Nothobranchius furzeri: one gene and its partner. The protein of the gene in region 2 binds, or shares a complex with, the protein of the main gene of each other region. Links are inferred from orthologs where the notes say so. Each region holds a gene or a part of one and is shown on either strand. Other genes may lie near its edges.

Region 1 (5,052 bases), on a different chromosome or scaffold from region 2:
TAAAACTGTCGGTGTTGTGCCGTTGTCAGGTAAAACCTCTGCACTGCATTGGAATTTAAATCTGCCATCGCTATTAGCTAAGAGGAACCCTAGAACATTAGCTGGTACCATATGATGTCACAATGTCGTTGTGAGTCTGTGTGTGTATTTTAGTGGCTCCGCCCTCTCGGTCTGCAAGGCAACAATATTTGTTGCATTTTTCAAACGGGAAGTGGGAGTTGAGTAAGATCTGGTAGGGGGTGACTTGCTCTTTAAGGCAATTTAACTAATTTAGCATCAAACCATTTCTGGCTTTGGAGCACCGTGATGGTGTCTTAGGATTAGTAACTTTGTTAAAACAAGCCACATCCAGTCCTATACATGTAAACTTGCTAATTTTATTTCCTTTTTACTGTTATATAATTACATAATTAAACTAGTTCAGTTTAAAAAACCTGTTTGTATTTTTTCATATTTGAGGCATAAAATTATCTCGGATTTACCTTCTTTAATAAGGAACTTACTGACAATAACATCAAATGAATGACTTTCAAAAGAAAATCCTCAAAAGTCTAATTTATTATTTTATGAACCAGTGCAGTTTTAGTTCTACATTTACAAGAGTCCTTTCTCATTTCCTGGTAACTGATGCACTGCCTAGCCAAAAGAAAAGTCACCACCTAAAAAAGTCACGCTCATACTTTGTTGGACCACCGTTAGCGTTGATTACGCTATTAAGCAGATTAAGCTTCTGCAATGCCATAAGATTTATTTTCATCCATTAATCCATTCATCCATTGCATTAATTGTTAACCAAGATCTCACATTGATGAAGGAGCTTTTTTATTAACATACAACATCACACAGACTCCAAAAATGGCTCCTATGATAATCGGATTTCTTTATTTAAAGCACATTCAAGCAAAACTCGCTCCAGCTCATACATTCAAAGTAAACTCGTGTTTCTGTGTAACTGTAAGCATTATTATAAATACCATAAATAACAATAAAGGAATGTATTTAAATAAATAAATATTCTTTTAGACTGCTTTCTCTCTGTTTTCCGGTACCTGATCACACAACAAGAGTTTACATTTGATATTCTGTAGAATTTATTTACCCTGTAGTCATTTTCTTTCAAGTCATTTATCAGATCAAACTGCAAATAAGTCATAATGATGATTTGAGAGTATGTTCAACTCTTAAAATATACTTAAGATTGTATAACAAAGACATTTAAACTATAACTCTAGTCATTTCTACTCTACTTTAATTATATATTTATTTTTAGTGATGCCTGTCTGGTTTGACAGCAGGCCGCTCAGTTCTCCAGAGGTAGGAAAAATCAGGCTTCTGTCTTGGAAACATCATTGTGGGTTTGTCAGACCAACCGAGAAAGAGAGGAATAATTTCCATCCTGTTTGATATTCCAGCATTTTGGATGAATGCTCAGATGCCAAAGATGCAGAAGCTTTTCTAAAATTGATTACTCTCTTTAAGGTCTGATGATGGAAGAGAACGTATTTAGTTGCTTTTTAGATTTAAGACAGAAGAAAATGTGCAAAAAAGGTTACAAGTCAATACAAACCACCGATTTTACCCAAAAAAAAAAATATATATATATTCAGCTTTTCAGATGGATGTTTGGACTAAACTGTTAAATTGGACTCAGGCAGAGCACATTAACTCTAAAATCATCCATGGTGCCGAGATCAGACCGTGGTCCCGGTGCTCCGAGCGCCGCCTTGCCTGGATAAGTTCACGTTCCAGGGGTCGTGTGGAGCCAGCGGCGTCTCCCGGGAAACGTTTCTTCCATCATCCCCGACTTCTGTTTCCGTCTCCAACTCTACCTCCACATCCAGGTCGATGTCGTCCTCCTGTGCCGCCCTGGAGTCCAACTCGTCCTCAGGCTGCCAAATCAAGACGTTGTGTGGGTCTGTTGGGTCCGCAACCCGAGTCCTCTTGTCTCTGTGCAGCAAAAGGCGCTGCAGCGGCACCGTGTTCTTCTTGGGCAGAAAGAGGGAGGTCTGCGGCAGGTTCTGACCCGCAGAGTAAAGCTGCCGGGAGCCCTCCAGGTTTAACAGGATCCCGGTTAGAGTAGAATAGTAGACGTCCCGGTTGTTCTCCAGAAGCCTGTGGTAGAACAGACAGGAGTCCCTCTGGCAGATGGGCTAAAAGAGGAAAAGAAAGCCATCAAACCCCAGCTGATCGATGTTTGCTGACTTTTATTTAGGCGGAAAAAATGCCTTGAATTTATTTTTATTCAATTTTCAGATGCCAATAAATCCAACCGACGTTTTAAATAAAGGAATCCTGTGCGTAAAAGTTGTGCGTAAAACTCCACAATGACACCAGAAACAAACTCGTGGTTTGATAAATCGACTAAAATTACATGCGAGCTTTCAACTGAAGTATTTTAAAGATGAATAAGCAGCAAACTAAAGAAATTAAGTGTTATTTAGAAAATAAACTGCGGTGCGCATGCGTAAAAGTAGCACAGCCAGATGCGTAAAAGCACATAGGACCGATAAACAAACTCAGAATAAGGTTTTAGGCTGGAAATTTGAAAATAACTTTGAAACACCTACCGAGCTGAACAGAATCCCCTCCTGATCCATACACAGGTAACGGTTGCTTTTGACACCGAAGATGGCCACGTGCTCCCTTGTTTCAGCTTTCATTAGAATTACACCTGCGAGAGAAAAAAAACACTTTTAGCAGCCTGACCTTGGTCTATAAACCTACATTATTTTCATCCAAATATCAACTTACTGAATGCAGATCTGGCTGTAGTTTTGCCCACAGACCCGTCTAATCTGATCTCCAGGTAGAAGTTGTTGAGTTCTGTGGAGGTCTGCAGGTGAACGTATCTCCTCGGGTTCCCCCAGTTGGATCCAACTAACGGAGACGGATTCGGTGCCGCTTCCCCGACAGGAAGTCCCTGCAGGACAGCGAGTAAGAGCGTCAGCATCGTGTCTCTCATCCCCAGTCGCTTGTTGACGTCCATCCTGGATCAAACCGCTGGTTTGGACTGCTGGAAGCGCTCGGATGCTCTGTTGTGCCACAGTTTGGTGACAGTACCTATTTAAAGCCCATCTGAGCGCCACTCCTGCGCACATCCTTTGCGCGGAAAAAAAGAAAAGAAAAAGAAACTCGCCCCCAAAGCAGAGGTGCGGGTTTCAGCAGCGGAAGGACCACTTCCACCTCTCTGTTTATTTCATGATCTTGGTTAAAAATCAAGACTTTTATTTTTGGGTTCTCTTCTTGACTCATCCACCGTTTCTTATTAAACCACCGCTTCAGGTTTTAGTTCGGAGTGCAGGAAGCTGCATTGTGTAATATTTCAAAAGGAAAAAAAAAACCTCTAAAGGCTTTTCATCACATCGCGGATTATTTCCCCAACCAAGAGTGACAGCTCTATAATTAAAGAGTTAAAATAGTTGTTTATGCCAGCTCTGCTTTTTCTGCACACCTGCACTCATCCACGTTTCCACTTTTTACCCAGCAGATGGCGACACTTCCTTGTTGGGAGGAAAGCAAACAGACGCATCTTTTACAGAAAGCTGCCACACTGGAAACCTAACTGCGTTTAGTCTGTTCCCCTCTTATAAACGGTTCATTCATGCAGGAAATTATTATGGTGACAAGTTATAATTCATGGAATAAGTCAGAAAGATTTTTTAATCTGTTAATTAACCTTACATTTGTTTTGTAAATTAGGGACAGGACTTGATTTAAAAATTATTTTGTTGTAAATTTTATGTTTGGCATGTATTTTGGGGTCTTTGTTGTTTTAAAAATTTAAACTAATATTTTGTGTTTGAAATGTTTTAATTTTTCATGATTTAAAAATGTGGAACACTAAAAACCAATTTTTAATGATTATTTCTGATTATAATGGGTCACTCTGAGTTTTTCATGCAGGCTGAACATGAAAATAGTCTCCTACACCTATCTCCTGCATCAGTTTCTGATAGAAAAGAGATGTGAAACTGCCAGATCTGCATCACACTGTCACTCAACATTCATGGACTCACCCGTGGATCACTACCACCTCTCTACCTTTGACTCTGAACGAAGCAGTACAAGTGCAGGTCGTTATCGTTTACAAGTTCCTGGAAATGGTGCAACGGTCAGTTTTTCCTCCCCAGAGTACAACTTGGATTAATTCCTAGAGACCACTACAAATGTATTTATTAAATGAGTGACTCACATCTTTCAGTTCAAGGTCAGCAAATCCAGTTAAACCACAGAAACAACAAACTCCCAGCAGCCAGTTAAAAAAAGAAAAACAAACTTTTATTATTTGGTATTTCAGGAATATACAGTAGACTGCTGTGCACAGCACATACGTACAAAAATAAAAGGAACAAAACTTTACTTAGCATCGTCTGTTATCAGAAACATGTAACTAAAATTTGTTTCGTCTCATTTTACAGAGATTAGCAAACCAAAACTAAGGCAGAAGGTGAGGTATATGAGAACAGAGGAGAGGAATAGAGTGGAGGCTCAGTCCAAAAAGTAAAAATAACACATGAAGAACACACACCCTAGTCAAGCTCTGGACTCAGGCATGCTGATATACATTCAAACATCAAAGAAGTTATTCCTCACCTTGACTTATTGAAATCTGACCTAGGATAAGCTGTGGAAAGGAGAATCAAATATATAATCAAGACGTCCTAAATAAGGTGCAAAACCAGACATCTTGGAGAGGTGACATGAGCAGTGGCGTGTCCAGATCTTTTAAAATGGGGTGGCCCAGGTGAGGCACAACTTTGTGCATGGGTGGCACCAATGGTTATGCTTTTCTTGTTTTACCCCCAAGCCTTTTGTGGACAATGAAAAGCCTAACTAAAGGTAAATTAATGTGGTGGCACCTGGGGTGGCCAATCAGATTCCAAGGGTGGTATGTGCTACCCCAGGCCACTCCCTGGACACGCCTCTGGACATGAGCAAATGAAGTCCTCATTAGCGTGCATTCACGATGTTTACTTCCACACAGTATACAGCTTTCAAAATAAAGAGCATTTTCATGTAACTCATAGTTAAAAATGTACATTAGTGCTTTTA
Region 2 (5,580 bases):
TTATATACATATATATATATATATTGGAGATTAAAAAAATACAGGATTTGAATATTTACATAAATATAATCTGTTGGTTTGTTCATATAGTTGACACTTGTCAGTCAGAAGAAGAAGAAGAAGAAGAAGAAGAAGAGGAGCATCAAGGAAAAATATTAAGTTCAAATAATTTGAGTCAGTTTGATGTTTTTAGAAGAACAAAGATTTTTTTATAGTGCTTTCAACATGAAACTCACAAGGCACTTCACAAACACAATAAAACAATCTAAACCTTTACTGTGATATGATGTAGGCAACACGTCGGTTATTCATTTTTTACAAGCACATCTCGCACAGCTCCATGCAGTTTCACTTCACCGCTGCTTAGCATTAGCCAGTAGAATTAGACATCGGCTTACGTACAGATGCAGTGAAGCATTTACCTTGGACCTGCTTTTCAACAACAGAAGGGTCTCTGCGTTCAACTCGGATGTTGAATAGATGCAGAGTTGGTGAACTTCTTTATAGACAAGTAAGTCTTTAAATTATGAAGTAATAAACAGCATAACATGAGAACAGTAACTATGTGTGTTCACGAATGAGAGGCATCGTTTCCAGCAGTATTACAGAAACAGGGAGATGCTCTGGGTGGTGCCATCTGAGAGAAACCTCAGGATTTCTGCTTGGACACCAAAACGTGTTGGCCCTCACATGTACCTGTAAAAGGTGGCGGACGTTTTTGGCTCCCTCTTCATGTCAGGAGTGTTGAAGTCGACGTAGTAAAGTCCACGTCGGATGCCGTACTCTCTGTGCCACTCAAAGCCGTCCATCAGGGACCAGGCTGTGTATCCAATCACATTCACTCCATCAACGACGATCGCTGGACGACAAACACATTCACACAGGCTTTAGTTTGACCTCAGAGACGTCTGACGAGACAGTTCGATGAGTTTGGTGGAATCCGATGGACCCACATTTAAGTGTCTCTGCAATGAACCTCTTGAGGTAGTACATTTGTTTCGGATCTTCCGTTTTGGTGTTACCGAGGACATACCTGGAAAACAAACGCAAGTTCAACACAAACCCAAACTAAAACGGATATGTCCGTGTGCTAACCTACCAACCGCTTTGCATCACAAAGATGGGTGGCTTGTCATACTCTTCGTTGACCCAGTAGAGCAGCATCCTCAGGTCCAGATCTTCCAGCTGCCCAAACTTCAGGCTGTCGTTGATGAGTTGGAAGCTCAGGGTAGCTCCATGGGAGAGGGCGAAGAAATCAGCTGTTCCTCTGACCTGCTCCCTCTCCTCCTGGGTAAAGGAGGGGAGCCGTGAACCCAGCCTCTCCTTCATGCAGGCTGGATAGTCTCCATCTACAAACAGCGGCTGTGCAAACCAGCCCAGGACATGGTCCAGGGAACACTGGCACTCCCGCAGGCTTTCCAGGCGAGTACGGCTGGGCTTGATCCAGTGGGAGGCCAGAGCCATGGAGACCTTCCCGTGCTGCCGAGGCCGATAGCGGCGGTTGTAGAGGTGCCATGCAGCTGCATGGGCCTGCAGCAGAGACAAGAGAGATACATAAAGAATAAACTTTTACATGCAGGTCAAAAAGTTAAAAAAAAAGTTCTGTGTGCATAATAAATTACACTGTAAAATCTGAATGGTTATTTTTACTTGGAAAAAAAAGCATGAAAATGACAGAAAAGATTGGAGCCCCAGTGGCCTCCCTGCTGAATAAGTGCAGATTTTTTTGTGTTAATGTAGCCTAATATGAGATGTGGGGAGAAAAAGCATGTGAATGCAATTATATGGGGGTTGGGGTTAGTTGAAAAGAGATGTTAAGATAAACACTTTGATGTTTTTTCTGATGCAGATTACCAAGACGTTAATGTAGTTTTGCAAAATAGTTAAATTTGGAAAGGTATTGAAAAGCTGTTGTATCTAAAGCAACCATGAATTATTATGTTGTTGGAATTACACACACATTTTTGAAATACTTAAAGGCACATTTTTTTATTATTATTTTTTTTCATACAGATGTACCTCTCCAACAAAGCAGTCGGGCCCCCCTGTAATGTAAATGTAGAACCGCCCCTGGCCATATTTTAGTGCTTTTTACTATTTTAATGGGAAAAAAATCATAGTAATAAACATTTTTTTTTGTAATTTATTTTCAAGATACTAAATGGAAGGAAAATTGAATAAAAAATTAGATTTTTGAACAGATACTTTTTGTGACTAATAAAAAAACAGCACATTTTTTAAATCAATACCCACCTTAAGTAAGTTATGTCCCACTCGGAGAGGGAGATCAGGGTCGTTCTTGATCCCAGGAGCGACCACCCCGGTTCCGTAGCCATACTGCGCCACCACAAACGGGTTATCTATGGTGATCCAGAACTTCACATCATTCCCAAACGCATGGAAGCAAAAATCTGCGTAATCCTCAAATATCCCCACGATCTCTGGGTTGCTCCAGCCGCCCAGGGTCTGCTGCAGCTGCTCGGGCAGGTCCCAGTGATGAAGCGTGACCACCGGCTGGACTCGGACCTCCTTCAGCCTCCTGATGAGCGTCCGGTAGTAGCTGGTGCCGATGTCGTTATAACTCCCGCGCGTCCCGTTCGGAAATATCCTGGACCAGGACAAGGAGAACCTGTAGTGGGTCACCCCGAGCTGGCGGATGGCCCGGATGTCCGCGTGGATGTTGTGGTAGCTGTCGCTGCCCACGTCCCCGGTGGCCATGCGGTTCCCTCCGCGCGTAAAAGTGTCCCAGATGGAGAGCCCTTTGCCGTCCTTCTCAAACGCGCCCTCCACCTGGTACGCCGCTGTGCCCACGGCCCATATGAAGTCCCCGGGGAACGTGTCGTAGAGAAAAGCCTTGTCTCCCGGATAGGGAAGTTTACTGAAGCGGCTCCACGTCTTCAGACCCGCATTGGGCTTTGCGCCAACAGCAGCGAAGGCCACAAATGTGAGAACAGCGACAAACCCCTTCATGGTTGGTTTTCTTACTGGCCGTGGAAGTCCGGGTCCTCAGCTGGCTCACACTCCACCATGCTTGGTGGCTTTTTGGTGACTAACCAGACCTCTGCGACGCGCGAGCAGCCAGCTGTGAACCTGTCAATCATTAACCAAAGCACCTGACGCAGGAAGGGCTCAGGGCACAAGACGTTAAGGCTCCCACAAAGACAAAATAAGGCACGATCACTTTATTTTATTCTATTCTGCTCATATTGAGCCTTTAATCTCAGTCTAATCTCCTGGAGAGCAGGTGCCAAAGCCTCTAATGTGAACCCATCAACAGATCATAGCTTTAATCCATCTGCAAAACATGTATAACTAAATCTACATTCCTAATCTCATCAGAGACAATGTGATGAGTCAGATGGTTGCTAGGGAACACAAACCCATCCCAGGTTATCACAGCATCAGTATAAATACCTGAGGTGGTGGGTATGTCTTAGAATAAAAAAGTGGTTCTTTCTCTGAGAGGCCATAGTCATTTACATCTAATTAGACTTTTTGAATATTTGGAGCCAACTGTGTTCAAATATGTTGTTTATGCTATTAAAGTGTATAATCAAACCACTCCTCAGACGTCCAGCTCTGCTCATCGTTTAGCGAATTTGCCCTGCAGGCTCTGTCACGGATCACAAACGGGAAGAACACGGGAGTGTTTTTCCATCGGACGCACTGGAGCGTTTGTGCATAAGCGACGTGGAGCAGGAGCAGCCCCATTTACAGCACGGGAAGAGGATTATTAAGGGATGCTGGGCAGCCCGAGGACAGCGCGTGACTCCGACAGATGCCGCAGTTGGATCTGAAGAACTAGAACGTCTGTTTTCAGTCTGAAAAACTAAACGTTTCAAACCAAATAAAGAGGAAGCGAGCAGGTCTGGTTTTATAGAGAATTATATTGTTACAACAGAGGGTCTGACTGGGTGGATGTGAAGCCAAATTAACCAGCAGTGACACAAACGACGTTCCTCTAGCAGTGAGTACAAATCTAACCAAATAAATCAGATGCACACTACAGTCATAACCAGAAGCAACTCTACAATTGCTTTTTTTTTGTTTGTTTTTAAAGTTTTCAATAATGGTAAAAAAGAAGAAGAAATGTTTTAATATACAGAGGTGTAAACAAAATCATTCCAATAAAAGGTAAAATGACACAATTAACACAGAAAAAGTTGATGGTGATCGGTCTTTTTTTTTTTTTAGCTTTTAATAATAACGGCAGAACCCAAAAGGCTTTACAGCACCTCCCCAGTCAGCATCAAACACAACAACAGAACAACAAACAGACAGAGGAGACTATTTACAAACCATATTGTTTTTGTTTTTCATGTTAAGATGAGTTCTACCTAACGTGGCGAACATGATCACAATGCAACACGAAGCGACGAGCCACAGCTGACCATGCGGACGCTCTGATGTGGTGTGCATGTGGTAAATGCAAGTGTGTAACAGCGGGAACATCGGCATATGAAAAGTTTAAAAAGTTCAAAGTTCATGGGTTTTTTTTCCTTTCCTGAAACGGTTTCCTTGACGACAGAAGAATCGTTGTGTTTTGTTTTTTAAATTTTACTCCAAAGCTCATCTTCTGCGTCCTGCTGTCTTCTTACGACCCTGAAAGACAATAAAAAAAAAAAAAGACATTTTACTTGCGATTAATCGCAAATTAATTACAGATTATAAAAGTACGGTAACGTGATCTTTTTCATGTATGAGCAGACAAATACACCGATTCTATAAGAAAACATATTTGTTATTGCAACAATCCAGTAAAATGACAAATATTGTCCAGAATGTTCTTTTTCGATGAACACAAATCTAACTAGCGCGTCGTCTTTTATTGAGAAAGTACCGGATGTTCTCCTCCACCCCGGTGTCTACCTTCCTGTTCCCTTCGTGTCCGCCTGACACCATTTCCTTGTTTGTCCTCCGGGTTCTACCTGAGTTTTTATTACACCGACTAGGCAGTAGCGAATAGAAAAATAAAAAAGTTAAGTTAAGGATAGATCTTACAAATTGTTTTAATCATAAACGACACAAAAAAATCTGTTTTACAGCAGCAACCCTTACTTCTATAAATGTTTCCTGCTCTGATGAGTGAGAATATGAAGCCGAGTGCAGCCATTCAGGGCATTCAGACGGAAATAATGGAACACACTAGGGCTGCAACTAACGACTATTTTAATAGTTTACTAGTCACCGACTACTGAAACGATTAGTCGACTAATCGGATAATTATGAAAATTTTTTCAAATTTAGTATGAGATTGCTTTAATTGTGTGAAAAATGATAATAAACACAAGAAAGATGGGTACTTCAATGGAAAATGTATATTTTATTGAACGTTGCTGCTGATAGATAGGCCAATTCATACTAACAGTAGATAAAATGCCCTGTCTAACACCAATTAGGCACAGTGTCCAGTCAGTACAGACATAAATGCATAAATAAAATTAAAATACTTTTGTCAGGCACAGTCGGGCATAACATTAAATCTCTCTTTTTTAAAAGCGAAAGTACGTTTAAAAAAAATTTACAGTGTACATCCAAAACAAAAGGTATTGGCTTTCGTGTTATTTAAATCTTACCTCG

What was found. Proteins that work in one complex are often made in the same cells at the same time.
Region 1: the proteins of kl (region 2) and fgf23 are in contact, whole or in part, in a cryo-EM structure (PDB 7YSH), measured with the Homo sapiens proteins. The link is inferred for Nothobranchius furzeri from reciprocal best matches to the Homo sapiens genes KL and FGF23. Residues at the interface, in NP_004786.2 of Homo sapiens: Phe377, Lys385, Leu389, Glu390, Pro392, Trp417, Phe418, Ser420, Lys429, Tyr432, Tyr433, Lys436, Phe437, Arg468, Ser471, Ile472, Arg556, Arg693, Asn694, Met695, Thr696, Tyr697, Ile735, Val752, Phe755, Asp756, Asn782, Asn783, Leu785, Ile812; in NP_065689.1 of Homo sapiens: Leu39, Met74, Ala80, Val88, Arg91, Leu166, Ile167, Phe169, Asn170, Ile173, Arg175, His177, Asp184, Ser185, Glu186, Arg187, Asp188, Pro189, Leu190, Asn191, Val192, Leu193, Lys194, Pro195, Arg196, Ala197, Arg198, Met199, Thr200, Pro201.

What each region holds. Positions count from the first base shown.
Region 1 is NC_091741.1:43,104,999-43,110,050, forward strand, and holds fgf23 (fibroblast growth factor 23), read right to left. Parts: upstream 3,151-5,052; 5' UTR 2,987-3,150; coding exon 2,752-2,986; intron 2,672-2,751; coding exon 2,568-2,671; intron 2,151-2,567; coding exon 1,692-2,150; 3' UTR 1,572-1,691; downstream 1-1,571. UniProt on the Homo sapiens protein: Regulator of phosphate homeostasis. Inhibits renal tubular phosphate transport by reducing SLC34A1 levels. Up-regulates EGR1 expression in the presence of KL. Acts directly on the parathyroid to decrease PTH secretion. Regulator of vitamin-D metabolism.
Region 2 is NC_091750.1:61,952,128-61,957,707, forward strand, and holds the start of kl (klotho), read right to left. Parts: upstream 3,712-5,580; 5' UTR 2,971-3,711; coding exon 2,254-2,970; intron 1,531-2,253; coding exon 1,100-1,530; intron 1,034-1,099; coding exon 954-1,033; intron 860-953; coding exon 697-859; intron 1-696. Other genes in the region: pds5b (sister chromatid cohesion protein PDS5 homolog B), read right to left, coding at 4,570-4,602. UniProt on the Homo sapiens protein: May have weak glycosidase activity towards glucuronylated steroids. However, it lacks essential active site Glu residues at positions 239 and 872, suggesting it may be inactive as a glycosidase in vivo.